Caenorhabditis elegans: one gene and its partners. The protein of the gene in region 2 purifies or fractionates together with the protein of the main gene of each other region. This does not show direct contact. Each region holds a gene or a part of one and is shown on either strand. Other genes may lie near its edges.

Evidence for each region.
Region 1: the proteins of wdr-31 (region 2) and C08E8.2 fractionate together in Caenorhabditis elegans (co-fractionation; one large-scale study listed by BioGRID). This does not show direct contact.
Region 3: the proteins of wdr-31 (region 2) and mob-3 fractionate together in Caenorhabditis elegans (co-fractionation; one large-scale study listed by BioGRID). This does not show direct contact.

What each region holds. Positions count from the first base shown.
Region 1 is NC_003283.11:18,349,995-18,358,985, reverse strand, and holds C08E8.2 (Strictosidine synthase conserved region domain-containing protein), read left to right. Parts: upstream 1-3,143; coding exon 3,144-3,456; intron 3,457-3,833; coding exon 3,834-4,301; intron 4,302-5,240; coding exon 5,241-5,476; downstream 5,477-8,991. Other genes in the region: C08E8.11 (Salivary lipocalin), read right to left, coding at 6,350-6,478, 6,530-6,777, 7,865-7,952; C08E8.3 (uncharacterized protein), read right to left, coding at 8,542-8,592, 8,653-8,838.
Region 2 is NC_003280.10:2,728,013-2,739,073, reverse strand, and holds wdr-31 (WD_REPEATS_REGION domain-containing protein), read left to right. Parts: upstream 1-3,781; 5' UTR 3,782-3,831; coding exon 3,832-3,932; intron 3,933-6,142; coding exon 6,143-6,501; intron 6,502-6,552; coding exon 6,553-6,851; intron 6,852-7,264; coding exon 7,265-7,430; intron 7,431-7,480; coding exon 7,481-7,556; intron 7,557-7,619; coding exon 7,620-7,755; 3' UTR 7,756-7,969; downstream 7,970-11,061. Other genes in the region: T05A8.6 (DUF281 domain-containing protein), read left to right, coding at 1-235, 280-386, 440-485; T05A8.8 (Mediator complex subunit 15), read right to left, coding at 1,518-1,639, 1,684-1,795, 2,172-2,387.
Region 3 is NC_003282.8:7,382,668-7,393,411, reverse strand, and holds mob-3 (MOB kinase activator-like 3), read left to right. Parts: upstream 1-4,468; 5' UTR 4,469-4,485; coding exon 4,486-4,553; intron 4,554-6,143; exon of another isoform or gene 6,144-6,286; intron 6,287-6,572; coding exon 6,573-6,723; intron 6,724-7,046; coding exon 7,047-7,197; intron 7,198-7,251; coding exon 7,252-7,418; intron 7,419-7,518; coding exon 7,519-7,579; intron 7,580-7,631; coding exon 7,632-7,834; intron 7,835-8,254; coding exon 8,255-8,332; 3' UTR 8,333-8,656; downstream 8,657-10,744. Other genes in the region: ptp-8 (TYR_PHOSPHATASE_2 domain-containing protein), read right to left, coding at 8,660-8,827, 9,113-9,232, 9,283-9,522, 9,567-9,695, 9,740-10,008, 10,435-10,550, 10,640-10,744.

The DNA of each region.
Region 1 (8,991 bases), on a different chromosome or scaffold from region 2:
CCTGAGTCAATAACATTAACCCTGCAGAGGGATGTTGCTATGCATGCTGTTTGTGGATACAAAGAAACTGAACCATAGCTTGCATCTACTGGTTTTTTCTGGTTGGCCTTTGCCTATTCACGTTTTGCATTCCACCATTGTCGGGTGTAGGTCTCCGTGATGCGGGGCAATATTTCAATTGATTCGCACTGGCACGTTTCTGGAAAAAGTTGAACTTAAATTTTTGAAATTTTCACAAAGTTCAAGTTTAGATGGTAGGTGTTTCGAGAAAAAAATTGTTTTTAATTTATTTTCCAAAGATTTTGATTTTTTCAGCATATTATTCCGGTCAAAATAAGTATAATCATGGCATACTTCTGATAACTTTGAAATTTCGAGAGAGCACAGAGAAACGAGACACTCTCGCTGTCTGCGCCCTCTCACTCTCTAGCGGCGGGTATAAAAACGGCCATAACTTTCTTAGTTTTGGCGTGGTTTTTGTGATAATTATATCTTTGAAATCAGAGAGTCTAGGCGGTTCGAATGAGTGTAAACTTGAATAAAATAGGAAAAAATTTTTTTTGAATGTTTGGAAAAAAATTTGAAATTTTTATCAAATTTTTTTCTTTTCCTCGAAATTCTTTTCAGGACTTCCTCGAAATTCTTTTCTGGTTTCTGGACCAATATTTTTTGCCAAATCAACACAGTTCCTGGATGCTTCCAAATCAAGTCTAGATAACAAAATAATTGAAAAATTTGAAAAATTTAAATTTTTTCGATTTTCAAAATTTCAAATTTTCCTAAAACTACCATAACTCCTTTATTTTTGAAGCAATTATAATTTTAGATATATTTTTGAAATTAGAAGAAAATTTTGAACACTTTTTTTAAAACTAAATATAAGTATTTAATGTTTCTGACAAAAAATAAGAACCTTACCAACACAAGTTTGTGTGCACACTTGTTCTGCATTGACGAAGGCTACAAAACATAGAGCTAGAATAATAAACATTTTGTCTGAAATGGGGGTCTCAGTATCAGTATTTATACTAACTTTCATTATGAGAACTTCTCTGGTGAAGAAGGAAGTGGAGATTTATGGATGGGACTGTAAGGGACAGCTTTTTCAGAAAAGTTACAGCTGTCTTGAGAGATAAATTGGAACTTTTTTGTGTTTCTGCATCAAAAACCTCATTTAATTTTTTTTGAGCGTTTTTTCATCTGAAAAATACTGAAATTGTGCGAAAAATCGGAAAATATCCTGTGTCCCAAAAAAAATCAAATTAAAAAAATCTTCATTTTTCAAAAAATATAAAAAATTACAAACTTTTATTTTCATTTCAATGTTATTCTTAAAATACATTTTTGAACTGAGAATTTCAAATTCTACAAGTTTTCCTGCAAAGATCACGTAGTTCAGATTAAAATCTGATTTAAAATTGGGATTATTATGGGGGTTTTGGAAAAAAAATTGTTTTTTCAAATTAAAAAAAAAAAATTTTTCAAAAAATATTGGCCCATATTTATTTTAATCTAAAAATTTGAATTATACACATTTTTGCGGTTCAAAAAAGTATAATCATGACGTTATTCCGATAACTTTGAAATTTCGAGAGAGCGCAGAGAAACGAGACACTCTCACTGTGTGCGCCCTCTCACGCGCTGTGTAAAAACTACCATAACTCTGCTAGTTTTAAAGTTAGGGATGAGATATATATTTTTTCAAAATCAAGAGACCGAGGCGGTTTGAATGAGTATAAAAATTAGCGAAAAAAACTGTTCCCAAAATTTTTTTTTTGTTGCGATTTTTGTTTAATTTTTTAAAATTTATACTATTTAAGTAAGTTCAATTAAAGGTGGACTACGCCCAGTGGGGAAATTGCTTTAAAACACGCCCATGGGGCCACAATGACCGAATATCATGATAAAAAAATTCAAAAAAATTTTCTAGATTTTATATGATTTTTTGAAAATGGGAAAAATCTCAGTTTTCACCTAATTATTTTTGAATTTCCGCCAAATGGATTTGTTCGGTGGAGCGCGCTTGCATTATTTTTTATTTATTTATTTTATTTATTCTCGTTATTTTACAGTTTTTCATCATTTTCTATGTTTTTTTCTAGGAAAATGGAAGAAATAAACAAGACAAATGCAAAATGTTTGTTAAAAAGTAACTGAAAATGATTAAAACTGTGATATTCTTTGTTCCGACGACAACAAGCCTGAAATTAGTATATTTCACAGTTTTAAGCATTTTCAATTACTTTTTAACAAACATTTTGCATTTGTCTTGTTTATTTCTTTTATTTTCCGAGAAAAAAACATAGACAATGATGAAAAACAGTAAAATAACGAGAATAAATAGAATAAATTAATAAAAATAATGCAAGCGCGCTCCACCAAACAAATTCAATTGGCGGAAATTCAAAAATAATTAGGTGAAAACTGAGATTTTTCCAATTTTCAAAAAATCATATAAGATCTAGAAAATTTTTTTGAATTTTTTTATCATGATATTCGGTCATTGTGGCCCCATGGGCGTGTTTTAAAGCAATTTCCCCACTGGGCGTAGTCCACCTTTAAAAACTCATTCCAACTACACTCTAACTTCACACCTCCTATACTTATCATACTCACCCCTCCGAAGAGCAAACATTTTGCTCTTTAGCACTCGAAGCACACACACACAAACCACACATTATCACAAAACTCCGCCTGTTTCATGCCCAGTTGTTGGCTGACAAATGATAAATCTCATCAAAAATTGTATATATCACGGTTCATATAGTATATAATAAATGCCAAGAAAACTTGAGATCAGTAAAATCTTGAAAATTTTCAAAAAATCTGAAATTTTTGTCAAAAAAAGGTAAGTTTTCAAAAGGGTTTTTTGTAGTTTGTAGTTTGTAGTTTGTAGTTTGTAGTTTGCAAGCTGGTTTCATAGGAAATAGTGAGGCTTTAACTTTAATACTAAACTTTAATGTATCCGACAAAACTTTGCTTTCTTAGTAGTTTGTAGTTTGTAGTTATTGTAGTTTGTAGTCATTGTAGTTCATAGTCTATTGTTTCCAGAAAAATGGGAATTTGCTGCTGTAAAAGTGAGACTTTCGCCGAAGAATATCAATTTTCTCCGCCGCCAGAGCTCACCGGAGCCCTGGAAATCAATGACAAACTCCAAAAAGCTCAGCATACTGGAGGGACAGGTAATTGGACCAGAATCTATGGTAGTTGATGATGAAGCCATTTATGTATCTGTAAATGACGCAAAAGTGCTGAAAATCGTGGATGGAAAGGTTCGGGCCACTGCGGTGTACTCGAAGAATCCGATTTTTCCGCCGAATATGACAAGATTCGAGGCTGAAGCGATTTGTGGAAGACCCCTTGGAATTAGGAAGCTTGTGGAGGGAACTAAGAAGTTTGTACTTGTGGATGCGTATTTGGGAGTTTTCATTATCGATTTTTCCGATGAATTGAGACGTGAGTTATTTAATTTTGATTTAGCAGTTTCGCAACGTTAATTTTTGAATTCAGCGTGTTTTTTCGGTCAATATAAGTATAATCATGGCACATTTCTGATAGTTTCGCAATTTCGAGAGAGCGCAGAGAAACGAGACACTATCGTCGTCTGCGCCCTCTCACTCTCTCTCGCCGGCCGTAACTTTTTTCGTTTAGAGTGATATTTTAGATAAATATATTTTTGAAATTAGGAGGTCCAGGCGGTTTGAATGAGTATAAATTTTGGCAAAATTAGGACAAAATTTTTTTTTTGAAATTTTGAAAATTGTTTTTTCAAAAAAATTTTTTGCCTCGTAGCACTTTTTCAACCTGATATTCTTAGAACCTATATTTTCCAGCAAAATCAACACAAATCCTGGACGCTTCCAAGCCAATCGACGGATTCAGGCCCAACTTCCTCAACGACCTGGACGTAATCTCAGAGGACGAGCTCATCATCACACACAGCTCAATCCGACATGACTGCCGACACTTCTTCAATCTAGTGCTGGAACATCAGGGAGACGGTCGCATTTTGCATCTGAAAATCTCGACTGGAACCGTAAAAGTGTTGGCTAAAAATCTGTACTTTCCCAATGGAATCCAGCTGACCCCCGACAAGAAATCGGCGATTTTCGCCGAATGTTCGATGGCTCGGATCAAGAAATTGGATCTGGAAACTGGAAAAATCGATATTTTCTGCGAAAACTTGCCCGGGCTGCCGGATAACATCCGGGGAACTCCACGTGGCACATTTTGGGTCGGGTTGGCGGCGACTCGCTCGAAAAATTATCCGTCTTTGTTGGATCGGTTGGGAAATTGGCCAGGTGGGTGACTACAAACTGTAATGACTACAAACTACAAAAACTACAAAAACTACAAACTACTATACAATGATAAATACAATCAGCGAGCAGTCCTCAAATCTGTAGAGTTTTGAACAAAAACTGTCAAGTTTAATAGTGACCGTCAAGTCTGTAGTTTGTAGTTTGTAGTTTGTAGTTTGTAGTTTGTAGCTTGTAGTTTGTAGTATGCAGTATGTAGTATGTAGTTTGTAGTTTGTAGTTTATAGTTTGTAGTTTGTAGTTTGTAGTTTGTAGTTTTAATAATATGTACTTTTCAAAACCGATCAGAACATTTTTCGAAAAAATTGGTACATTCTGTAGGTGACATGAATTGCAGTTTATAAGTTGTTGTTTGTAGTTTGTAGTTTGTAGTTTGTTGCTTGTAGTTTGTAGTTTGTAGTTTGTGGTTTGTAGTTTGTAGTTTGTAGTTTGTAGTTTGTAGTTTATACTTTAAAATTTCGGTTTTACAGTCTGTAATTTTCAAGCTTGTTTATTCGACCTAGTGGGAATGCAAATAATTTTGAAAAAATTAATAAAATTCTTTCAAAAGCAAGGTAAAAGACTACAAATTACAATAACTACAAACTAAATTACTCTAAACTACAAAAACTGCAAAAATTACCAATTTTCTATAGAAAAGTGCAATAACAGCAATAACTACAAACTGCAAACTACATCAACTACATCAACTACAAACTACATTAACTTCATCAACTACAAACTACGATAACTACAAACAACAATAACTACAAACTACAATAACTACAAACTACAATAACTATACACTACACCAAACACTTAAACTACAAACTACAACAGCCAAGGACATACATATTATATTAGGCAAGCATCAACGAGTTAATGACTACAAACTACAATTTAGTACACTACAATAACTACAAACTACAACAATTTTTGCAGGAGTCCGTCAATTCTTTGTCGACATTGTCCCGGCGGCCCATTGGATGAAAATTCTCGTCTTTTCGAAACATCCTCACTCGATAATTGTTGAGTTGGACTCCAACGGGAAAATTATCAGAAGCCTGCATGACGTCACTGGAAAACATGTTAGTGACGTGTCACAGGTCACAGAACACAATGGATTCTTGTATTTGGGCAGTTTTGCAGACACTTATATTGCTAAAGTTGAACTTTGATTTGAATATTTTTAGTGGATTTTTGAATGAAGTTTTTTTTTGAAGTTTCAAATTTTTCAAAAAATGTTCAAATTTTTTTTCTTTCTTTGAAACTTAAATTTTCGAAATCAGTATGTTTTCCCGGTCATTTTAAGTATAATCATGACCTACTTCCGATAAAATTTCGGCTATGAGAGAGCACAGAGAAACGAGACACTATCGCTGTCTGCGCATCTCCTCTCTCGCCGGCGGGGTTTAAAACTACCCTATCTCTGTTGGTTTCGTGCCGAGACCCGTGGTATGCATACTTTTTGAAATCAGCAATTCAAGACGGTTCGAATGAGTATAAGGACTTCGTTTCAAAAAATAATCATTCATTTATTAGTGGGGAGTTTTGAATTTTTATTTTACAAATATGGTTTATAGAAACTTTTAGTTTAAAATTTTTCTGAATGTTTTTTTTTAAATTATACTTCTGAATACATATTTTGAGATCTTAACTAAGTTTTAAATAATCAAATTTTTTTGAAATTTTCAATTTTTTTCGAAAATTTTGAAAATTTAAAAATTGCAATTTTTCCGGAATTTTTGAATCTATGTTTTTTTAAATTATAATTTTCGAAATCAGCGAGCATGTCCGGTCATTTTAAGTATGATCATGACATATTTCGGATAAATTTGAAATTTGGAGAGAGCGCAGAGAAGCGAGACACTCTCAGTGTCTGCGCATCTCCTCTCTCGCCGGCGGGGTTTAAAACTACCGTAACTCTGTTAGTTTTGCGCTGAAACCCGTGGTATGCATACTTTTTGGAATCAGCACGTTAAGACGATTCGGATGTGTATTTTAGGATTTCGTTCCAAAAAATAATAATTTATTACTGAGTCGCGAAAAATTCAATAGACTTGAAGGCATCCTGCCGAGACGATTTCAGAGCCTTTGTAGTGATACTTGTCAAGAACACAGTCCACATCAGGGAAACTGAGATCTTCGCGTGGAAGGAAGTAGGCCGGAAACTCGGCTACCTGTAAAATTTTTCGATTTTCCAGTTTATCACTGGATTTGCATTAGTTCACCTTTTTATCGGCTGTCACAATAACCAGTGTAGAATTGGAGATTCTACTTTTGTCGCCAGTTGAAGTAAAAAGACATTCGGTAGATGCTGAGCATGTCTTTCTATCATAAAGCATTGTGTAGCCAATAGTTCCACTTGCTTCTGGAAAACCGCTCTCTTTGACTGCCTCGTCACGCTTCGCGTACCACCAGTCTTTGGTGTAGGTCTCAGTGTACAATGGGATGTCTGTTGTGGAGCAGTTACATGTTTCTGGAAATTTATGAAATTGAAATCGGCATTCAATTCCGGTCATTTCAAGTATAATCATGACATATATCTGATAACATTGAAAATTCGAGAGAGCGCAGAGAAACGAGACACTCTCACTGTCTGCGTCTCTCATAATGCCTCGTCGCTTGCTAGACGTTCGATTAAGCTTCTGTTATGTATTTTTTAAACTCAAAAAATCAAAAAGGTTTTAATCAATTTAGATTTGAAATAATTTTAAAAAAAAAATCGAAAAATTTATTTTTCGAAAAATTTATTTTTTTTTTTTTTTCTAAAAAAAATTTTTTTTTTTGAAATTTTTATTTTTCTAAATTTTTTTTTGTTAATTTTCATATTCAGCATGTTTTCCCAATTCGAATAAGTATAATCATGGCATATTTCTGATAACTTTGAAATTTTGAGAGAGCGCAGAGAAAAGAGACAGTCTCGTTGTCTGCGTCTCTCCTCTTTTTCGCCTCGTTGTTAAAGCTACCGTAATCCTGTGGCTTTTGTCCGAAGACCCTTGATATTTAATTTTTCGGGATCACAATGAAATTTTGAATTGGATGAATATAAATTTGGAAAAAATTTTAATTTTTAATTTTTTTTTTTTGAAAAAAAAATCATTTTTTCTTCCAAATTCCAACTTTTTACAAGTTTTATTACAAATTCAAGTACAGCAAGTTTTTTTCGATCAATTTAAGTATAATCATAGCATACTTCTGAAAACTTTGAAATTTTGAGAGAGCACAGAGAAACGAGACACTCTCACTGTCTGCGCCCTCCCTCTCTCCGTCTCCCTCGGCGGGGTGCAAAAAGTACCGTAACTTTTAAAATTTTAAATCCAGGAAAAATTGTTACGATTTTTGAAATCAACGCAAAAATTGGGTCTAGATAGCCGAAATTGTTGGAAAATTTGAAAAAATTCGAAATTTTGAAATTTTGAAATTTTCCTCGCTGTGTAAAAACTACTATAACTCCTTAATTTTTTGAGCTATCAAAATGTTAATTATATTTTTGAAATAACAAGAGAATTTTGAGTACGTTTTTTAAAGTATTTAATACTTCTGATAAAAAATAACAACCTTACCAACACAAGTTTCGGTGAAAGTTTTTTTGCAGACGAGTTCTGCATTGGCGAATGCTCCAAAACAAAAGAGAGCGAGAATAATCAACATTGTGTGTTTTTCTAAAAAGGAGGTCTTAGTATCAGTATTTATACTAACTTTTATTATGAGAACTTTACTGGTAAAGGAGGAAGTGGAGGTTTTATGGATGGGACTGTAAGGGGCAGTTTTTTCAGAAAAGTTTTCTTGGGAGATAAGCTGGAACTGTGGTATTCTGAGCAAATTGAAATATCCTTTTTTTAATAATGGACTACAAACTACAAACTACAACTTAACATAATTTTTAGGTGACTACAATCTACAATAACTACAAACTACAGTAACTACAAACTACAAAAGTGAAGGAAAATGAAGCATGGTTAAATACACACTGAGATAGTATGTATGTAATAACAAGTGACTACAATTAAGTTAACTATGACTACCTTAAATATTTACTATAAACTACAATATGTTTGACTACAAACTACAATAACTACAAACTACAAAAACAAAAAGCTGAAAATTTCCTGAATTCCAAAAAAAAATCAATATTCAATATTTATACATATTTACAAACATTGTTACAATTCAATTTCAAAGTATTAATTCTTTAAAAGCTACTCTAACTTTAAATTAAAAATTGAAGAAAAAATCGATATTATTCCACAATTCGTTGTCGCTGGAGCTCGGGGAATTTCGATGATTTGTTCTGAAAAATTTATTTTTTTTTTTTTGAAATTTCTACCCAAAATCCAAAAAAAAAACTAACCACTCCAACAGTAATAATAACCGAATGCCTTCTCTCCGGATACGGAGCCACTGCCGGCTCCGAGAGCTTCCTCACCGGCGTAGTTGCTCCAGAGGTACATGGCGTCGGTGGGGTTGTGTAGGATTTGAATTTCGGGGTGTATTGGAAACCGGCAAAGTCGGATACCATTTCGATGAGGTCCTTCATAGTTTCTGAAAATTTGGATTTAGTTTTGGAAGAGGACTCGTGAAAAAAACGTAAGAAAAGTGGGAAAACATAGCGGATTTATGACTACAAACTACAAAAATGTGTGACTACAAACTACAAACTACAACTTAACATAATTTTCAAGTGACTACA
Region 2 (11,061 bases):
AGCAACAACTGTGACCACCACCACAGCTCCAACTACAACCAAGGCTCCGGATTGCACGACCACCACAGCTCCAACTACAACCAAGGCTCCGGATTGCACGACCTGCTCACAAGACATTCTTACCGATCCGATGCTCGCTAACGTCCATTGTGCCTCAACTGGAAGTACGGTAAATGGTTGTGCTACTCTCCAGATATTTTGTGAAAATATGGGTTGCGAGACGGCTGAGCTTTATGTAAGTTTTGAGAAAATGCTCGAATTTCTTATAAAAGCCTTCAGATTAGAAGTGAATCAGGCGTTGTTACCAGGACGGGCAGTAGTACTGGTAACGAAACCGATACTGAATTGCGCTGCCAAGCGGATGGGGTATGGCAGGATGGTGCAGCGTGAGTCTAGTTTATGAATATGTGTCTCAAATGTACAAGCTGACTGTTTTCAGGCAACGCGGCGTTGAAGTGACACTGAAGCTTGTAACACCATGCTGAGAATAATCTTGGGAATTTAATTCAGTTTTGCTATTTTATAATATAATAAAAACTTATAGACATCAATTCATTTTTATTGACCCTTCGCGTCTAAGGCTTCCATGTAAGGCAGGCGCGGTTGAAGGACCTTTTTCGACGCGGCCGACATTTTTCTGGTTTTTCGCCGCACTATAGAGGAGTTGAGGCTATCGGCGCGAGGCAGGCAGAGGTCGCGGCAAGCGTTTTAGCGCTTTTTAGGATTATTTTTAGGATTCTGGGGTTTTCAGCTGACATTTCAAATATCCAGATAACTCTCTGCGAGAGCAGAGAGCTACAGTGCTGAAAGGAGGCTGAGCCCCAGCCCCTCAGGAAAAAGCTCATACTCGCAGCCCTTCGCAGCACAGCTTCAGCCCAGTTCAGCCCTTCGCAGCCCTTTAGCAACATCAATCCAATTTATATTCAGTTTTATGAAAATTGGCACGGGACATCATTGAAACTGTGCTACTACGGGGCTGCGGGGGCTGCCCTATTTTTAGGTGATGCTTTTCAGAGCTAGAAGTTCCAAAGCATTAGGTTAGAGCTTCAGAAATTTTGAATTTTTGAACATTTATGCGGAAATTCTCGTTTTCAACTTCAATTCTAAATATGATATGTTGACAAAACAATTTTATAACCAACACTTATCATTTCTCGCTTTCCCTTTCATCTTCTCCCGAACGCCTGTCAAAAGTAGGTTATCATCCACAAAACAATGTGAATTGTCTATCCGGACACGATTACCACCACAATTGCAGTTCAGATTTTCTAAGAAAATTTTTTTTTAAGAACTCAAATTTTTTGAAAAGATCCTACAGGTTGGTCATCATTTCAGACATGCTTTGCAATGTAACAATGTTTTTTTTCAACACTTCATAAGAACTTAATTTGCAGAAAATGTCAACATTCAACATACATAATAAATTTCAATTGATATAATAATGTTAAAACCACCCCGAAACATTTCAATAACTTAAGAACCGCGATTTAAAAAAAGTCAACACAGAATATGTAAGATCAACGATCATTGGAAGCCCGTGGAGACATGGAAATCGGCGACGTCGACTGTGAGGACTGGGCTCCCGACACGCTGTTGAGCATCGCCAAAGCTCTACTGTAGTGGCTCCGTTCGAATTGATCTGGAAATTCAGGAATCGTTAAGATCTAAGTGGTGAGCCCAAACCTTTCAAATGACTGATATACTCTCTCGTCGGGTTCATCTCTGCGGGCTTTGACTTTTGGCGTTTCAGTTTTGTGGTGACCGCCAGGTCGGCGCAGGCGATTTCGATGATTTTCTGAAAAATTTGAGAAGCTAACTGATGGCTCTGAAGTAGGCCTTCCACGAAGGCGAGGCGCGAAAAGGGCACACCACGCCCGCCCTACTCCCGCACGCTCGCTCGCGCGCACTATCACACACTGTATACTGCGGCCGACGCTATGCGGGACCTCGCGCCACTTTAGCTGTGTGCAACAGAGAAGGGTGATCGTGTGTGGCGGCGGGCGGGGGTGTACCGTGTGGCGCGGAACCCTGAACGTGTCGGCTGCTTCCAAATAACTACCTTGTGCACTGGCACTGCTTATGGTTAGCGCACAACTATGATGTGCAGCCGTAAACACCGGAGTTCACGCCTAAATGCTCAGCGCAAAGAACGGCGACAAAGGCCGACTCACCACATAATCCATCGAATTCATAACCTGAATCTGCGGCACCGGCACCTGTGGATGTATCAGCGCAGATGAGGGAACCACCAGCCAACAACTCGACGGAAGCAGTCCCTGACTGAAATGCATGGATCCTTGCTGATTCATGCCTGTCGGCTCGATAGGCACGTGCACAGCCGGCGGACACTCCTTTTTCGCTTGCGCTGAGCAATTCGTTGGTATCATTTGGTGACTGTAAATTTGAGAATTGAAAGCCTGAGCGAGCTTCAAAAATAATAAAAATTTCCGGGAGAAATTGGAGAGTAGCTAGCTTCTAGGTATATAATTATTTCTAAACAAAACAAAATTATAGATTGCGGAGTTAAGAAGTTTTGAAAAAAAAGAAGAAGAAGTTTTGACGGAAAAGCGAGAAGCAGGTGAAAGTCTCATTCTGATTAGCTTTGTTTAAAATAATTTTTCGCCTCGGTTTGACGTCACAAGTAGCTCTGAAAAATGCACAAAGAGCACAAGAGTCATAAAATTCTGTACGCCCTTAGGGTTGCAGACAAACCGGTGGAGAGATGGCCGAGCGGTCCAAGGCGCTGGTTTAAGGCACCAGTCCCTTCGGGGGCGTGGGTTCGAATCCCACTCTCTTCAGTTCTTTTTTGTAGCTATTTTGCAGTGAAGCGTTGTGAAAATTTTGTGTTTGAAAGAATGTAGATTTGTTTGGGGCCGTCTAAGCCTTTTTATACTTTATTTGGCAGAATAGTATATTGAATATATGTGGAAAAATATTGTGCAAAAGATGGGAGACCTATATGTAAATGAAATGTGGCATGGGAATCGGGAATATAGATCTGATATTTTAGATCGATGATTAAAAAAAAGAAATTGAATATAGAAATAAGCGTAGCCGTTTTTGAGGTGAAATTCTAAGTTTGGACCCTGATTTAGACTAAAATGACACTTCGATGCACCATGTTTCTCGGACGTTATCTCCCATGTTTTACATTTTCCCCCTGTCGGCTAACCGCTCCGCTCCTGATGTGCCGCCGGCGGAGAGATGGCCGAGCGGTCCAAGGCGCTGGTTTAAGGCACCAGTCCCTTCGGGGGCGTGGGTTCGAATCCCACTCTCTTCAGTTCTTTTTTGTAGCTGATAACTCGTTATCTAGCCTACACAACTAATATTAGCAGGCTTATCTGTTCAGGTTTTCTCAAGGAAAAGTTTGAAATTCGAAAAGTTTGAGTCTCCCACAAGAGCCAGTCACTCATTTTGGCTATTAATTTTCAAATAAAAATTTGGGGGGACCCCTGGAGAGTTGAGCTCGTCAAGTAGCAGAGGGGGGAGCAACAAAAATTTGATAGAATTAGAGAAAAACCCCCGAGCACAAGAGAAGGCTCAAACAATAAAAGGTGTGGTGGTGTTTATGGTGCGCTGGCACACACATCTTCTCTTCTTCTTCGCGTTTTTTATGCTCATTTCAATTCATTTTTTGTTCGCTTCTTCTTCTTCTTACTCTTCGCTCATCTCTCTGCGTCTCTGCGCTCTCTCACCGGCCGCGGTTTCCTTGACGACGCGCTGGGCTCCAGCTAAGATGGGGAAGAAGAAGCTTTTGAGTATTTCTTTTTTTCCTTAGCTCCCCCCGGTTTTGTTGTTTAATTTTCGATTTGACCTAATTTCCAGCCAACTATGGAGAAATTTGGGAAGCTTGTGCACTATGTGCAGCACAAGATCTCCGGCACCTACACACAGATCAGCACTTTGGACCCGAACGAGACGGTCGTTAATCAGTAAGTTATTAGTAGAAAAATCGATGAAAAAAGAACAAAAAAAGATTTACCCAAAAACACAAAAAAAAAACGTTTTCAAAAAGGCTCCCGCCATATTCAAACGGTACTTGGCGCGCGCAGTGTTCGCCAGGGCGACCTCTCTCGATGTGTCTGCGTCTCTCCGTCTCTTGGCGCCTATCATCATCTGCCATTTGGTGCGTGTCAGTGTGTTTTTTCCTTCATTTTTTGTTTGTGGGGGGTTGGTGGTCAGTGAGTGGACGGACAAGTAGAGACGCAGACACATTGATGCCCTTTCCTTTGGAGGACGCCGGGGGAGGAAGCGATCAGTTAGGATGGAAATTTTAACTTTTGAAGATTAAACGGAAGGTTTTTGGAGTCTGGTAGGCCTGCGCAAGTTTCATGAAGCCTATTTCAATAGAAAAAAGTTTGAACTAGAAAAAAAGACGATCTGAAATTGTTTCAGGCCATTTTTTCATCAGTTTCTGAAAATTTGTCTTAGCCGTGTTTTTTTTTTCATGGGAACAATTTGATACATTTTCCAAAAAAAAATCTAAAATTTTTTGACGCGGCTTATAATTAGGCTTAGGCTTAGATTTAGACTTAGGCGTAGACATAGGCTTAGGCTGAGGCTTAGGCCTAGGCTTAGGCTTAGACTTAGGCTTTGGCTTTGGCTTAGGCTTAAGCTGAGGATTTGGATTAAGCTTATGCTGAGGCTTAGGCTTTGGCTCAACCCTAGATTTAGGCTTAGATTTAGGCTTAGGCTTAGGCTTACGGTCAAGCTCAAGCCCACTGTTTTTGAGGAAAAAATGACCTGAAACATTTCAGTTATAAGCTTCAAGAAAAAAGTGTGCCCTGATTTTGAGCGTCTTTGAAATCGAAAACCAAAACGAAAAAATTCCACTTTATTGCACCCTCTGAGGTTTTTATGACAATGGGAAGGACACACAGACTGGGACGCTTTTTTTTCATTGTACTTCGTGCAAAAAAATATTTATTGATACAAAAAAACACAAAAATTATTTGTTTCCCAACTGCTAGTAGTAGATAACTGGGCAAATCTGGAAAAAGTTTATGTTTTCTCAAATTTTGAAAATTAAGATTACCTCCGAATAAATCGACATTTGACCCGGGGTCAGCAGGCTTTTGAGCTCTCTGATTAAACTGCAAAGTGCATTTTTCAGATCTATCACTGGATTTGGCTCCGGGACAACGATTCCCTGAGCTTGGGCCTGAAAAATAGATCGGGATACTGTAGGGTTACTGTAGTGGTGATGTAGGATTACGGTAGTGGCTCTATAGAGTTACTGTAGGATGACTGTTAGGTTACTGTAGTGGTATTGTAGAATTACTGTAGTGCTGATGTAGGGTTACTGTAGTAGTACTGTATAGTTACTGTAATGGTACTCTAGGCTTACTGTAGTGATACTGGATTAATGTATTGGCAATGGAGGTCTACTGTTATGGTACTGTAGTGGTGATGTAGGGTTACTGTAGTGGTATTGTAGAATTACTGTAGTGTTGATGTAGGGTTACTGTAGTAGTACTGTATAGTTACTGTAATGATACTCTAGGCTTACTGTAGTGATACTGGATTGATGTATTGGCAATGGAGGTCTACTGTTATGGTACTGTAGGATTACTGTAGTGGTGATGTAGGGTTACTGTAGTGGTATTGTAGAATTACTGTAGTGCTGATGTAGGGTTACTGTAGTAGTACTGTATAGTTACTGTAATGATACTCTAGGCTTACTGTAGTGATACTGGATTAATGTATTGGCAATGGAGGTCTACTGTTATGGTACTGTAGGATTACTGTAGTGGTGATGTAGGGTTACTGTAGTGGTACCATAGAGCTACTGTAGGGTCATTGTTAGGTTACTGTAGTAGCGACGTAGAATTACTGTAGTGGTACTGTAGCATTACTGTAGTTGATTCCGACTACCATGATGGGTACTGTATGCTTGAACTCACCGAAGCACAGATAACACACAGAAATGCACAGAAAATAATGAAATTCATAGCGAAAATTTCAGTGTTTTGATAAAAATGAGCACTAGGCTCAACTTTATATGTACTAACTTTTTGCGAAAAATAACTCTAAAATTTTAATAAAAACATGTTTTTTTTTCAAAAACAAGGAGAACAATGAGAATTTGGTGAATAACATTATTCAAATCCACCGATAAAAACATGTTTTCCAAAATTTCCAGACTCCAACGATCCCGCTCCACCCACGGAAAGATCGCGAAGCCGATGGTCGGTCGTGCTGGCCACGTCGACACCGTGAACAACCTGACCGTAATCCGCGCCGGGATGATATTGTCAGGCGGGAAGGATGGACGGGCGGTCCTGACAAACACCGACAGTGGCGAGATCCATAATATGTGGTCCAACTCGTGCGAGATCAATAAGATCTGCTACCGTAACTTTATCGCCAAGCACTCACTGATTGCTGCGGGCAGGAATGGGACTCTGACCCATTGGATGTTCAACCACGAGCCTGGGGATCTTCCGAACGTGGTTTTCGATGGACACAAGTTCGGGGTGACCGGCGTTGTTAGTATTAATGGTGAGCATACTTTCTATAGGTTCTGCAAGAGTTTTCAATTTTAAATTTCAGAAAACCAATTTATGAGCGGATCCCGTGACTGTTCTGTGAAGATCTGGGATCTAGAATCCGCGAAATGTGTACGCACCCAGACCATCAATCGTAACCTCGTCACCCATATGGCCTACAACGGAAACTTGGTGGCTCAGACGTCGGAGGACAAGAGCGTCAGGTTGTGGGATCCGCGTAACGCGTCAGTGGTGACCGAATTCCCGCGAAAACGGCACATTCAGATGTTCTGCGAGTTTGACGGTGCGAATCGATTCTTCTCCTGCTCAAACGGGTTCAACAATGACGGGTGTGAGATTACGGTAAGACATTTGAAGCAGGGACCAGGAAAATGTCGGGCGCTGTACGGCACCTTTCATCGTAACTTTTGATCTTTTGACCCAGTATTCTAAATTGTAGCTGAGCCCATACCTGGTACCCCTTTTTGGGCTGAGGACTGATTATGAGGCGCCTAAATAAAGCTGACCAGCTTGTGAGCCGGATACTTAGACTAGCTGAGCATGATTGGTATCAAGTCAAAGTGTAGGTATAATTACGATCCTGAAGAGCAAGCTAGGATAATGTTTGGGCCAGACTGGCATAAGTCTGAGCCTAAGATTCGCAGAGTTCCTGGAATGCTAAGGTTCAGTTTCATTTGATCTAAAGCGCAGTCTTAATAGAACTTGTGAATGTTTCAGGCCGATTAATAAGCCCCTCTGTAATCCAAATTTTCCAGTCCTACGACGTCCGCAACCCCCGCCAGTCCAGAGAAGCCCGCGGTCACGAGGGCAACGTCACCTCGCTCTCCATAGTGCAAATGGACCAGACCAAGCGGCTCCTAGCTTCAGTCTCGGCTGACAGGCAGATCAGGCTATGGAAGATTGAAGAGGACGGGCAGGCTGGTGAGCTTAAAATCTGAAAATGAGCAAAATTTGTGAAACTCTGATTCCAGTGCTAAAACCAATCTGGAACGAGGACGTGCCACTGGAAGCGGATAATCTTCAAGTCTGCAGCTATCCGGATGGACAGTGAGTTCCTAAGGAACCTAGGGATCCTAAGAATCTTGAGATGAGAAAATCTAATTTTTTCAGCATAATTGTGTCGGGTGGCAAAGGCCGTCTCATCCACTATCAGGCGAAGCTCACGGCGCAGCGTGTCATCCTAGACGTCCAGCTCATCCAGCAGCACAGTATGGCCATGTCGGGAAGCTCCCACGCACTTCACTAATTTTTTTTGATCATCTGACATTTCTGTACACTTTGTAGATTTCTTTCCATCTCGCTCTGTGATCTCTTTTTCCGCGCCCTCACCCCCGTTCCTGTCTCCCCGTGTAATTTTGTACGAGCTGAGCCAATTTGGGCTCCGATTTTTCTTATCATCTTCTCCTATATGAATATTTGGAATATTTTGGTACATATATTAATGAATGAAAATTCTGGAATTTTTGAGTTCAGGCTTAGGCTCAGGATTAGGCTTAGGCATAGGCTTAGGCTTAGGCCTAGGTTTGGGCTTAGGCTTAGGCTTATGTCTCGGATTATGCTATTTTAGAGAAGTCTCTTTTTTGCATTACGGCAACTTTCTACAACTTTTTGACTTTTGAAAACTTCATCACAACAAAAAACTACAAATTCCGAATTCCCCAGAAAATGAAATTTCTAAAAAAAAAAGAGACAGGAAGAAGCCGCCGAGATAAAACGGCGAAAGACAAAAAGGTTCCGATTTGATTTGGGAGAGCAGGGAGGAGGGCTCACAGCTTCCATTCAATCAGTCTAAACAAAACAGAAGAAAGAAAAAGAGAGCTTTTGTTTTTGCAATTTTTCAACTTTTTTCTCGAAAATCATGCATCACAATACTTTTTTTTTCTTTAAAAAATTTCTTGCTAAGGACAGTATAAATTTCGACTGGGGAGGTCTGGCTACATAACTAATACTAATAAGGCTAATACTAATACTAATACTAATACTAATACTAATAACTAATAAGGCTAATAACTACTACGTAAGCTTCATGGAGTTTGCCAAAAGCTGTAAAATCTTGCAGACTGCCCCAGACTCAAGGACCTCGAGGAGGCTTCTGGGCCTGTAATGAGACTCTAGGGCCTGGCAAAGTTTTTTTAACTCTCGATGAGGCTCCTAGACTCTGCTCCGACCACTTTTGCTTAACTTGCCCAGCCTGACCACTACATTTCCCAAGTTACATTATCCAGGGGGAAATCCCTCTCATAAAAAATTCAAAAATCTCGGGGAATGTATTCCGAAAAGTACTACTCTCGTTGATTAGATTTCCGAATGTGGGTTCATTTTCATCCCTCCTCCTCCTCCTTTGCTAGAAAGGGTAGAGGTGGGAATTTCCTGAATTGTTAAATTTTCTGTTGCGTTTGGTTCAGATCTGTGTTGCCAGCCGGATATCGGGTTTGAATTATATTTTTGATTCAAAAAATGTACTCAATAGGTCAAACTGGTTTTCGTCTACACCCACCCTGCCTAGACCCCCATTTTGTCAACTTTTTTATAGAATAATTATGTATGGTTTGTTGTTTTTTTTGTCAGATTTTCATTGAATGTTCTTCAAAAGAAAAATTTCGATTTTTTTTTTCAGATATCTGTTTCCAAAAACAGGAATAGTCAAATAATTGCCAAAAATGAAGGAAGTTGCCACAAGTTATAGAAAAGTTATTCCATCCCTTTCTTACAACATAATTTTCGAAAAAATTATTTTGACACCGAATTTGTTTATTTTTCCAGTTGTGCAACTAATTCTTCTGTTTTTCAAAAGTTTTAAAGGCTTCTCAGATGTTTTTCGCAGTTAATATTTTTTGGCAATTTTGGCAATTTTTTTTGGCAATTTTTTGGCAAAAGCAACTTTTGGCAAATTTCGGCAGTTTCCATCAACTTTCGGCAACTTTTAACAATTTTTTGAAAATTTTTTGTCAATATTCCCCAATTTTAAAAGTTTCCTTGCATCATCTGATGATCCCAGAAGCACATATATTTTCTTAAAAAAAAAAAGAAACAAAAAAAATTGAAACACATGCTTCTCCTTTTTGTCTCTCAATTTTTCTTGTTGGTTTTTTTTTCTGCTGCCCCGTGTCGAGCCAATTGCCCTTTGCTCCGCGAGAGCACAAATTTGATAGAAGTTCATTTATCTTTTAGTCGCACACACAAAAACGGCAATTTTTCGGATTTTTCCATTTAATTTTTGATTTTGGTTGCCGAAAGTTGAAAGTTGCCGAAAATTGACGGACGTTGCTGAAATTTCAAAAAAAAAAACCTGCGAGCCTCTATTACACGTGGAGAGGGTCCTGTTACTACGAGAAAAAACTCAAAGATCTTGATAGAAGAGGTAACTGATACTCTAGAAAAAGGACTTTGATCGCGAGTTTTTTTTTTGAAAAGTACGGATTTTCGCCAGTTTCAGGCAAATTTTGACAAATTACGGGCAACTTTCGACAACTTTCGACTAACCCCGAAGAAATTTTCGGAAAATTTTGATACTTGTTGGTAGGGCTTCCATGTAGTTTTGAGCCAAAACTCCTGCCGCGCCCGCATTGCGTCTCACGCCGCCAGCCGCTTCTTCTGTCTAGTGTGATGCGGAGCCCGAAAAGTGTCGGGCGCTGTGAAGGTGGGCAGGTTTGATGCAGGCGTCCCTAGTAGCGCCCGACATATTTCGGTTTGGCCACTGACTGCAACTTTCGATAACCGTCGGCAATTACAAAAGCTTTCAGTAAAAGTTCGGCAACTTCTGACAACTTTCGGCAGATTTCTCGGTATTTTTGGTAATATTCAGCGATTTCCGATAATTTTCAAATCAGAACTCTTCTCGTTTTCTCTGAACCTCTCCCCCTCTCTCCCCGCACTCTATCAATTATCTTCTCATCATTTCTCAATCAGATTCCAAAAGTTGCTCCCAGTGTCCAGGGGCTCCGTGGCTCGTTGTATTCCCCTCCCCGGGCTTCTACTTCTATCTCTTACCCCCCTCCCCGCCGCTATCATCTTCTTATTGTCGATTGATCGATTTGTTAGTGTGTCTCGAGCTGCTGAGAGCAACAAGAAAAAGAGCATTTTTGCGACTTGTTTTATGATTTTCTTTCACATTGTCTGCTTACTTTTAGAATTTCACGCTGATTTTTTTCGCTGATTTTTTTTGCCACTTTAAAAAATATGTACGACTAAAAATTTTTTCACATGGTACAAAATGGCCAAAATGTTGTTGACTGTTTCCATATTCACAAAAAAAATTAGCAATTTTTTGCAACATAATTTAGCCAATATATGGGCGGAGACTAAACAGTTCTGCTTTAATTTTTTTGAACAAAATTTCCATTATGTAAATTCGCTTTTTGTTATGTTAAACTATCTCTACTCAAAATGCACATATATGTACTTTTTTTAAAATTTAATTTTCCTGAATTTCCAAAATAATTTAAAAAAAAAATTTTGTATACAAGTTTTGATATAAATTGACTACAAGTGGTCTTAAAAAACGTGACTACAATTTTATTTGAGACGCCAGTTGCCGGGTAATTTGTGAGCG
Region 3 (10,744 bases), on a different chromosome or scaffold from region 2:
TTAGACTTTTCGCTAAAAACAAAATCATACCAGAAGATGATTGTAGAATTCGAAAGGAAGAGTGAGTTGACGGGTTGGGATGTGGAGTTGCGGTGGCTCAGCAGGGCCCTTCGCCTGTGGTTTAGGCGAAAACGGTAACAAGACGTGAGATGACTCGCCGCACAGTTCACGATCCGAGACGATAATTACCCCTGAAAAAAAAACCATTTTGATCAGATAAAAGAATACGGAAAAGTTGTGACAAACGGAATGAGGTAGAAATAGGAGGAGCAACAAGGAAATAAGAAGAGTTTTATTTGAACTCCCACGTATAACATTATCAAAAAGGTTTGTCAGCGACAAAGTCTCCGGCGTCCGGTCTCGCCTACATTGGAAGATTTATGTCGCCACATGAGAAAAGTGTTAACAAAAAAAAACGAAGAAAGAGAAGAGGTGAGAAAAACGGTGTCTTGCAAGAAAGATATCTTTTTGATTGTTCTTTAGAGAGTGACGTTATGGTCTTTGCTGGGCGAACTCTATATAATTTTAAATATAATCTTGTCGGCCTATTTTCTTGCTGAGGACACCGAATTCCCATTTATATGGGCTGAAAAACGGGAAATAATGAGTTTGAACTGATGGATTGGTTAAGGATATTGGGCGAATGATGGCAGTAAACTCGAATGCACTAGAATACGTAAATTTTATTTTTTTAAAGGCTTTTTCAGTGACATCAGATATTTTGTAGATTCAAAAATCTGAATCGTTGACGAAAATAGTTTACTCGTGATTTTTCAACAGCCAGATTTCACAAATGTTCACTGAGTCAACAAAAACAAAAAAATTATTGCGAAAAACGTTGGTTATTATTGTCATGTGTAAGAGCATCACTATTAGATAGAGAAAATGAACAAAAATGAGGTCCATCTATTCAGCAATATTTCAACTTCTTTTAAAAAATTGTTCTTTGTTTGCTCGATGTGCTGCGACCCTAGATTTATTAACAGTCGCAGATTGGAAAGGTTGTCAAAGGCAGGGGCAGGGAGTGCGCAATAAAAAGAAAAAGAGCAAATTTGACAATCCGATTGTTAAACTCTTGTTGCAGAATCAGCCTAAAAAACGCATCCGGAGAGGAAAGATCGCGAAACAAGAAGTTGAAGCGCCTGAGGATAGGGATTATCTAAAGAAGAAAAACGAAAAAAAGGGAGGAAGTGAGCCAAGTTAGATGTTTCGTCTTCTATTTTAAATCGAATTGAAATATAAAGCGAGGGACTTTCTAATCGATTTCATAGGTGATATTGCATGGGAAGGAGGGAAGTCGGCCGTACTCTGACGTGATGGGTTGGGTGTAAACGGTGCTTCTTTCGTCGCCCATCATCTAATGTCAGAGTAGATGAGACGCAGGATATCCCACTAGCGAGAAGCAGATCCCTATGACCTATTGGTGAAGTTCACGGAAAATGCACAGAAGAGACAACGAAAAGGAGCAATCAATTTGAAACGAAAGAAGAATGAAGATACGAGGAGGATCTACTGGCTCGTTTTCACTTTTTTTTGCAAATCTAATTCCTACTCAAAGTTTCGAAAAAAATTGGACGAATGCCAAGGGTCGTCTAGCAGACAAAAATGTTATGATTCAAAATAAGGCGGAGTCTTAAGGGTACATTGAAGGTCACACGTCCAATGCAGACGCTCTTTCTCTTTCGCAATCATTCGGCCCGCGCACAAAGAGCGTATATTGTTGCTCTCATGACGTCACCGTAGCTAACAGTGTAAGATGAAAAGTCTCTCTACTTATGAAATTTATCCTGAAAGAGTCGAACAACGAGCACACAATTCTAGAGCTTCTTCTCTTCTCAAAACTCAATAGAATGCGACGAGCTCATGGCTGGAAAGATCATAGACCAAATCTTTTTCATAGAAAAGTTGGAGGATGGGGGTGAATGCATAACTTTGAAAACAGACATTCATGTTTTGCTTTCGCCGAATGCCATGTGAGCCAAAACAAGGTGCCACAAGAGAGAAAATTACAAAATAAAGAAATATTTAATGAATCTAAACTTTGGAATGCGATAATTCCGAAAGGAAGTAATTTTTGTCTAGATTAATGAGGTTACCTCTTTAGTGTAGTGGGATTTAATTGTATTCGATAAGAGCATTCTAATAATACAAAAAGAATAAAAACTTTAGCCTTCAACTTATGAATCAAACTTTTTGGTCGATAGAATATCAAACACATTTGCAAAGGGGCCCGGAATGATGCAATAAAGAGGAGACCAAAAGTGCAAAAGCAAGTGAGAGAAAACGGAGAGAACATGCTACGGTAATATTTCTTCCCGGTTGAACTTTCTTTGTTCGCCAAAAGTGACACACAGTAACCTACACAGAATAAGAATACAATATTTCAACAAAATCTTTCGAAAGACTGATAGAAACAAGCACTTTTATACATCAAAAAGAGACAAAACATCAGTCTTTCAGTGATTCGCTGGATTATTTATAGACTATTTCTTGCGATTTTCGAGCTGAAAGAAACGGAAGAGGTTCGAGAGAAGAAGATTGGATGAAGAGACGAACAAAACACACCCTCGCACATAATCATTTTCGTCACTTTATGATGGACCAGCCTCTCAGAATAGAATCGCATTCTTTCTAGACATTATATTGTTGTCTGTGCGACAATAGAATTTTCTAGAAAATGTTCGCTCCGGTGACCTCTTCAGTTTTAAACACAACAAAAATATAACAAATAACTAAAGTAGCAGTTTACGTGCAGTTGGTGAAGAAATTCGTAGCAAAAAATGATACAGGAGCTGCTCGAACAGCTGGTCGAAAGTCGCAATGAAGAGAAACACTTGGCGGGAAATGAAGGAACTTGAGAGAGAGAGAGAGAGAATAGATTCAAAATTCGAACGGGAAGGAACAAGGAACGAAATAATTGCGAACTGATTTTAGAAAGAAGAAACATTTTACACAATTTCATAGGCATATGGTTTTATGCCAGTCTGGGTCCAAACTCGTTGTGGACAGAGCTCAATGAGGTGGCCTTTCCCAATGCAAGCGACTGGGGTCTGAATTAGATAGTATGCAAAAAGCAGAGGGGACCAGCTGGCATGAAGCCAAGTGCGAGCAAAATAAAGGGAGCGAGAGAACTAGAGGGCGCAGAAAAAACGATGGAAAAGCCGAGACGCGCGACGACGGAGAAGAGCTGCTCGACAACGATCCACGACGAATAAGACCAGAGAAGCGGCAGATTTTTTCGTTTTCAAATGGGCAATCGAACGGAAAATGAGCACATAAGACATGGAAGAATTTAATCTGCTTTTAAAGCGACCCCTCTTTTGCATCATCTACTACAAATTCAAGAAATAAGAATTATAATATTTTAAAATTATGAAAAATCAAATAAAACAGCAAAAAATAGCCGAGAAGAACATACAGCGTGGGAAAATATATCGTGGGAAAATTAAAATGATTTGAACCACAATTCTGCATTTTACCGTGGGTTACGGTAGGCTAAGTGCACAAAATACACCAAATCTTACGACGATTTATTTGTTTGGTAAAAAACATTTTTCCTGTTAGTTTTTATTTTTTTTTTTTTCTCCTGGAAAATTGGAGTTTTTATTTTTTTTAATTTATGGGGTTATTCAAGTAGTGTCGTGAAATTGAAAAGTGTATTTCAATACACTTTTTGCCTTATTCAAGTAACATCAAAAACATATATTTCAATACAGTTTGTGACGTAATTTCGCGACATTTCTCGACATTTCTCGACATTATGCGACAACCAGAAAGCGGACAACTGAATGAAAAACACAGAGAAAGGTGTCCCCGCGGGTGAAAATCCATACAATTTGCCGTCGAAGGAGAACAATTCTGATAAATCCACTGTGGAAAAATGTCGAGAAATGTCGAGAAATGTCGCGAAATTACGTCACAAACTGTATTGAAATACATGTTTTTGATGTTACTTGAATAAGGCAAAAAGTGTATTGAAATACACTTTTCAATTTCACGACACTACTTGAATAACCCCATTAGTTCAGTTCAAACGGACGTAAAAAAGTTTTATTTTCATTATTTTTCAGAAATATGTTTGACTTTCAACCTGAATTTACTCACTTCAATTTTAAAACTGCGAAACGTTTCATGTCGAACATTTCCAATATATTCAGATTTTTATTCTTTTGTTTTGAGAAACCTCTATAATGAAATCCTGAAAAAAAATCTAAAAAACTTAAATTTTTAGTTTATGTGAAATATTGAAATTTTTTGAATATAAATCTTTTCTCCCATATTTTGCCGGTTTTTCGAGATAACCAGAAAACCTGGATTACCGAAAACGCAGAAAGGGTTCTAAATTTACAGATTAGAAAGAAATTCTTTTGAAAATGATTTAAAATTGATTACACACGCCGGTCCACGTGTCCTTAATTTATTTGAAAACATATTTTTTCATCCAACAATAATTTTCTTCTCATTTCAGAACGCTTCCCTTTCTCCATGTCTCTTCTCAACTGCTATGGTCTTCCGGAGGCACTTCAACGTGGCGACACACCTACAAAACAAAGGTTTGTTCCAAGTTTTTCACTACCGATTATTCATATTCGACTCATTTGGCATTCTGAATGCGATGCAATGATTCGAAGGCAAACATCCATTAAATTTCGTTGAACGTTCCTCTTTCTTGTTCGGTTTTAGTAGAAAACGCTGATTTTTCAATCCGGAATCCGTAGAGATTTTTGACATTGACACAGGCCGGCTGTCAGTCAAAATCATCACTGTGAAGTTCTGTCAACTTATTCGTTCTTCTTTTACTACAATTTCTGAACGTATTATTCAATTTTATTTCCAAAAACATTAAAATATTTTCATTTTCTAGTTTCAACAGATTTGTCCGTAATCAAAAGTTCTTAGTCCATGATTTTGGCCAGCTTTCGTCAAATGTCTGGCTTCTATGTCGATCATTATTTCCAAAAGAGACTTAAAAACGTCGAATTTATCTTTTGAAAGAGTGCAATTTCTAAAAGAAGACTGACAGTCTAAAGGGTACTGTAGGTTCACAGAATGATGTGATAATGAGATGCAAATAAAATGTGTCGGCCATTGTCAATTGTCACCTTCAAATGTCATTCAACCTGGGAAATCGTTCGAGGACATTGAAAAAACAGTTGGTCATGCAAAACCTATTTCAATGAAATACATCAGAAATGTCTACTCTTTTGGAATGAGAAACTGAAGCTAGAAAGCCCACGCCAAAGTACCCTCATAATTTCCTCATTTCTCTTCCGGCTACCATTAAATGTGTGTTGTTCTTATTTTCCTGTTTTGTATTGGAAAAGTAAAACTATGCCGTTGAAGTTGTAAAGTCCACAAAAGTTTTGCCCACTACTATTGAGTCATCAAAAGTTCCCAATTCAAATAGAGATTTTATGTTTGGAGATTGGAAAACTCCGATGGTTCTCCAAAAATTATATAATATACAACTTCGTAGTTCTATCGAAAATTCTGGTTTTAACCGTTATTGCATATTTAAGTTTTGAAAAATGATGTTTTGTAGATTATGGACGATTGAAAGTGGAGAATTTTGTGATGAGACGTATTGAAAATTTCTCAAAAAATTGTTACGGCGGATCAAAGTTTTGAAAAGGGTATTTATATTTTCAGCTAAAATCGAAAATTTTGACCCGCCAGAATTATTTTTTGAGAAATTTTCAAAATTTCTCATTACGAATTTCGGTTGTTTTGTGCTATTAAAGTCTAAAAATGAAAATCGAGATTTTTGTACTCCACGGTGGTGAACCTTCTAGACCTACTAGGGTTACTGTAGGCATTGCATATTTGAAATAAAATTCAAAATGCTTGCTTTACGACAACTTCCGGAATCATAGATTCTCACCCAATTTGCACTCATCTCTCTTGGTCCTTCTCATGACTGCTCATTATCAAATCCTCGTTGCCACACACACACACACACACAATCCATGCCCTCCCGCAACTCACACTGTCTGCGTATCTACATTCTATATTGCTCTATCATCTCTCCATCCATTTCAACTGCTACCTATTCTTCTCTGCGTATCCCCCTATCCCAATACTCTCTCGTTTTGCTTCGTCCCCAACGCATGATGTTCATTGTGTGTATGTCTCTTCTCTTTCTGTTTCTTCGGGGCCAACTGCGTGAGAGAGTGCCGCGCCACAGCCTATCCATCATTAAAATTCGCTAATTTCCCACCAACCACCAGTCTAAAAATCCTTTCATTCTTCATCCCGACTTCATTACTGATCCGATCTGGAAATCCAGGTAAATCTCCGAAATCTCATAAATTCGTTAAATTTGTGTGTTTCTATGCGGAAACCGAACGGGAAGCGGTGAATTCAAAAATAGAATTCACGAGACAATGCGATTTCATCAGAAAATTTAAAATTCCTTACGCGTTTCGCAACTTTTCGGCCACAATTTCTATGAAAAACTACCATGATGATGTTCTTTATTCGTTTGAAAAAGTGAGCCAATGAACTTCGCTTGCTTTCATTTAGTTCACCACTAACCCAGTTTTACGACTCATTAAACCTTCCTTCTCTTGCAGATCGGGAATTTTGCCGTCAACTCCACGCCGAACTTCACCGCCTTCGGGCGCCATCGTCTCTTCCGGTGGAGACGAAAAACGAAAGGATCCACAACCATTGTTTGCAGTTATGGCCAGTTTTCTCGATTTTCTGCAGGTCAACAAGCATAAGGTAATCAAAAACAAATTTTTGATTTGAGATAAATATTTTTGTTGGCTTTTTTTCTTTATTAAAAATAAGAAAAAAAACATTATTTTGCATCGAAATTGATAAAAACCAAAGTCCGGCACTGAAAAATGTGCGTGGTTTAAAGACAAATGCGCTGTAATTCAAATTAGGAACATTAGAAAATTGAAAATTTACCGAAATTAGTAGTTTTCTTTTTCAAACTTAATGAGTGTTTTCTTTTAATTTTTTGTGATATCTTGGCATTTGGGACCAAGCTGCGTAAATTACCATTTTCTGAAATTGAACGAAAAGTATTTTGTTTGTAGACATTCCGTCCGAAAAAGAAGTTTCCACAAGGTACACTCCGCTACAGTCTTCACAAACAAGCAGAAGCAACTCTTCATTCGGGTGTAGATCTTCGTCATGCTGTCAAACTGCCACCAAGTGAGAACTTTGATGATTGGCTGGCTGTACATAGTAAGTTTCAACAAAAATGGTCCAGTTTAAATTTAAAACTGAATTTTCGTTCAGCTGTTGACTTTTTCAATCGAATTAATTTGATGTATGGAACGATTTCTGATGTATGCACTCGTGAATCTTGCCCAACTATGTGTGGAGGATCCCGTTATGAATATTTGTGGCAGGATGGTATTGAGTATAAAAAACCGACAAGACTCCCTGCTCCGCAGTACATGCAGGTTTGTTTTTGCGTTTTCTGTAACCTAATACCCCTCTCTTTCTATTTGCACCCTTCTCACAATTGTGTGATTTCGGTAAACTGATACACCGTTGTTTCAGCTGCTAATGGATTGGATTGAAGTTCGCATTAATGATGAGCACATCTTCCCATCAAGCACAAGTAAGATTTGATTTTGTACGATATATATAGTTAATTTTATTGATTATTTCAGATGTATCATTTCCAAAAGATTTCCGTCAAATTTGCAAAAAGATTCTCACTCGCTTGTTCCGTGTCTTCGTGCACGTCTACATTCATCATTTCGATCGGATTCGAGAATTGGGTGCTGAACCACACGCCAATACCCTTTATAAACATTTTTACTTTTTTGTGACTGAATATGGAATGGTGTCCACTAAAGAATTGGAGGCATTGGTAAGTTATGCAAATTTGGAGCACACTTTGAAAAAAAAAGAGAAAAGTTTTACCAAAAACAAAAAAAGATATGTTCAAATAATTATTTAAACTGTCTCACGAAACGCAAATTTTCAATTTTTTTCCCCTCCCACTTTTCACGCCTAGGAGGATTTTTTTTTATTTTTTAAGAAAAGAGCAAGTTTAAAAATAGTAAATTTAAAAAACACTATTGGAGCAAGGGCGTCGCTTTTTCGATTGCAAAATCCAAGAGCGAAGATTTTTTTTTGATTTCTCAAAAAAAAAAGAAGGACCCAACAAAAAATGTTTAAAAAATAAAAGAAGTTTGTCCTCAATTTTGAGGAAAATAACTTGATGTTCTTCAAAAAAAAATTAATCTGTGATTTTTTTTTCAAATAAAAGCACTTGTTTTTTTTTCAGAAAGACATGACTGAACGTCTTCTGGAGCCATCAAATCGCCGAGCTCCAATTCCTTCTGCCAACGCATTCCGGTCATGATTTTTGTTCCATTTCATGTCATTCTTCTTCTTTTTCCTGAATACCAGTCATTTTCGGTTGTGAACCATCACTGTTTCTGCTTTCTGTCTCAATTAAAGTGCAACTTTTCCATGTTCAGTTCAACTTGTACTTCTCATTCTCTCCGTATTCCCAACGATTTATCGCATGTAAACAGTATTCATCCAAATCGTTTCCCCTCTATTTCTACTTGCCTTCCCCGTTTCTTTGTTTCTTTATGATGCAAAGACTTCCCGCCAAAGTGATTTCATTTTTTTTTTTTTAATGATTTCATTTTTTTTTATTTCTCGAAAAAAACTTTTATTGAATTTACTCGTTTGAAGTAACCGGTGATGATAAAATGTGTTTGATGCGTGACGCGATTTCCACTTCAGAACGTAGGAACCATTTGGAAATAAGACGTGATAGTGCCAAATGAAGAGGAATAGGCATTTCACGGATACATTTTAATAAAAACCAAAACGTTGGAGACCAATCCTGAAAAAATGGAATTTGGAGTAATAGAGCAAAACTGATAATTTGAAATCATGTTATTTTGAAAAACTGCGTTCTAAAATCTACTGTTTCAAGTTCGCGATAAGTGGAATACGTATTTCGTTATTTTCACTAAACTGTCAATTATATCTTCATGCAAGTCACTAAACTCGAATTTTATTTTTTTGTTTATACAAAATCTACACTAACAATTCTTCACATTGAATGTATATTATCAAATAATCATTTTTTCGGGTACATCTGCTCAACAATTCCAAAATTTCTAACCTTTTCAGTTTGATCCCAATTCTGTAAAACTGCAAATATTTCCTCTTTATGCGTCAATTGATGAAATGTCGAATGAAAGAACAAATCAAGAAGACGTATAATATCTCGAAAATCTTCATTCTAAATTTTAATCAGATTAACATTTTCCTGAATCTCTCTCACCAACTAACCTCTAATTGACGACTAATTGTAGATATTGAGAGCCCATTCTTCACTTGATCCATATACCAAAAATGAGTTTTTTCATGATCATCATCATTTAATTGAGCATTTAATAATTGTTCATCGAATGATTTATTTTCAGGTAATGGCCCTTCGCATTTAATTTTCATACGGTAATCGTTTTCTACTTCGAAATTCACTGATGAATACATTTTTTGAAGTGTTATTCGCATTGCAATGTAAACTATCTGAAAATATGTTATTTATTTATTTAGAAAATTTAAATACTTACTTTAGGAATTTTACCGTATAATCTAGATTCTGGTTTACTTATAAACTTTTGATTGTATGCCACATATTCCGAAATATGTGTCATTTTATTTTTAGGAATAATCATCCCTCCATTGTTCCTTATTAGAAGCTGCAATATAGAACTTTTGTGATTGTATATGATTACGAACTTACTCTGAACTCATGCAATGTTTTCACCTGTTCCTTACTTTGAACAGCTTTTGCACGTCTACTTCTGACTGTATCAACTGCTTGACTCGGAGACATTCCCAAAGCATACATCATCCATGCAGCAATCACCATTCCAGTTCTTCCGTGACCCGCATGACAATGAACTGCTATTTTTCCATGGGATAATGCAAAATCGACCACTTTGACAATATCCAATAGACGATTTGGTGTGCATGCTTGGAAGTCGGGGAGTGGGAAATTGTAGTGATAAACTGAAGAAAAATGGAAATAATTTAAAGCGTAGTTCATTCATTAGACAAGTAAGAAGCTGTTGCACATTGAAGTTTTTCATGGTCATGTTTCTGTAGTTTCTTTATAAAATATTCTGCCAAATAGACAACATTGGGAAAATGTCGACAAAATATTTTCAACTCATGTTTAGAAGAAAAATTATTATTTAAATGTTGGAAATATTTTCTCGTTGGACCCTACTCGTTCAATAAACATTTAATCCCAAATACATTGGTAGTCACAAAAAACAGAAATCCAAATGTGATCTAGTCAGGTTTTTTTTGCATAGACGAAAAATACATTCCAGCCTGTAAGGCGATCTACATCTTTTTGGACAGACACGTGGGCCTGAACGTGCCTACTTGCAATCGAGCGTTTATCAATTCTTTAATATAAAGTTAACTCACTTCCATTTCTCATCAAATTCTCTGGATCATAACTAAATCCACTTGTCAGATTACCGCTTCCACAGAATGAATGCTCTCCGCTTTCTTGAAGATTTATGACTGATTGTATTCCATTTCTAAAGAATAGGAACAATGTTTATGAATAACAGAATATGATCGTTTCCAATCATCAGTCCGCTATCAACCAAATTGAGATAGAACTTACGTTTTGAATTTCTCCACAATTCCCAAACTGTCAAAGTGTTCAACTTGAAGTCGTGCCATTGCAAGAATATCAGATGTTATCCATGTTGAATATAAACCATCTATT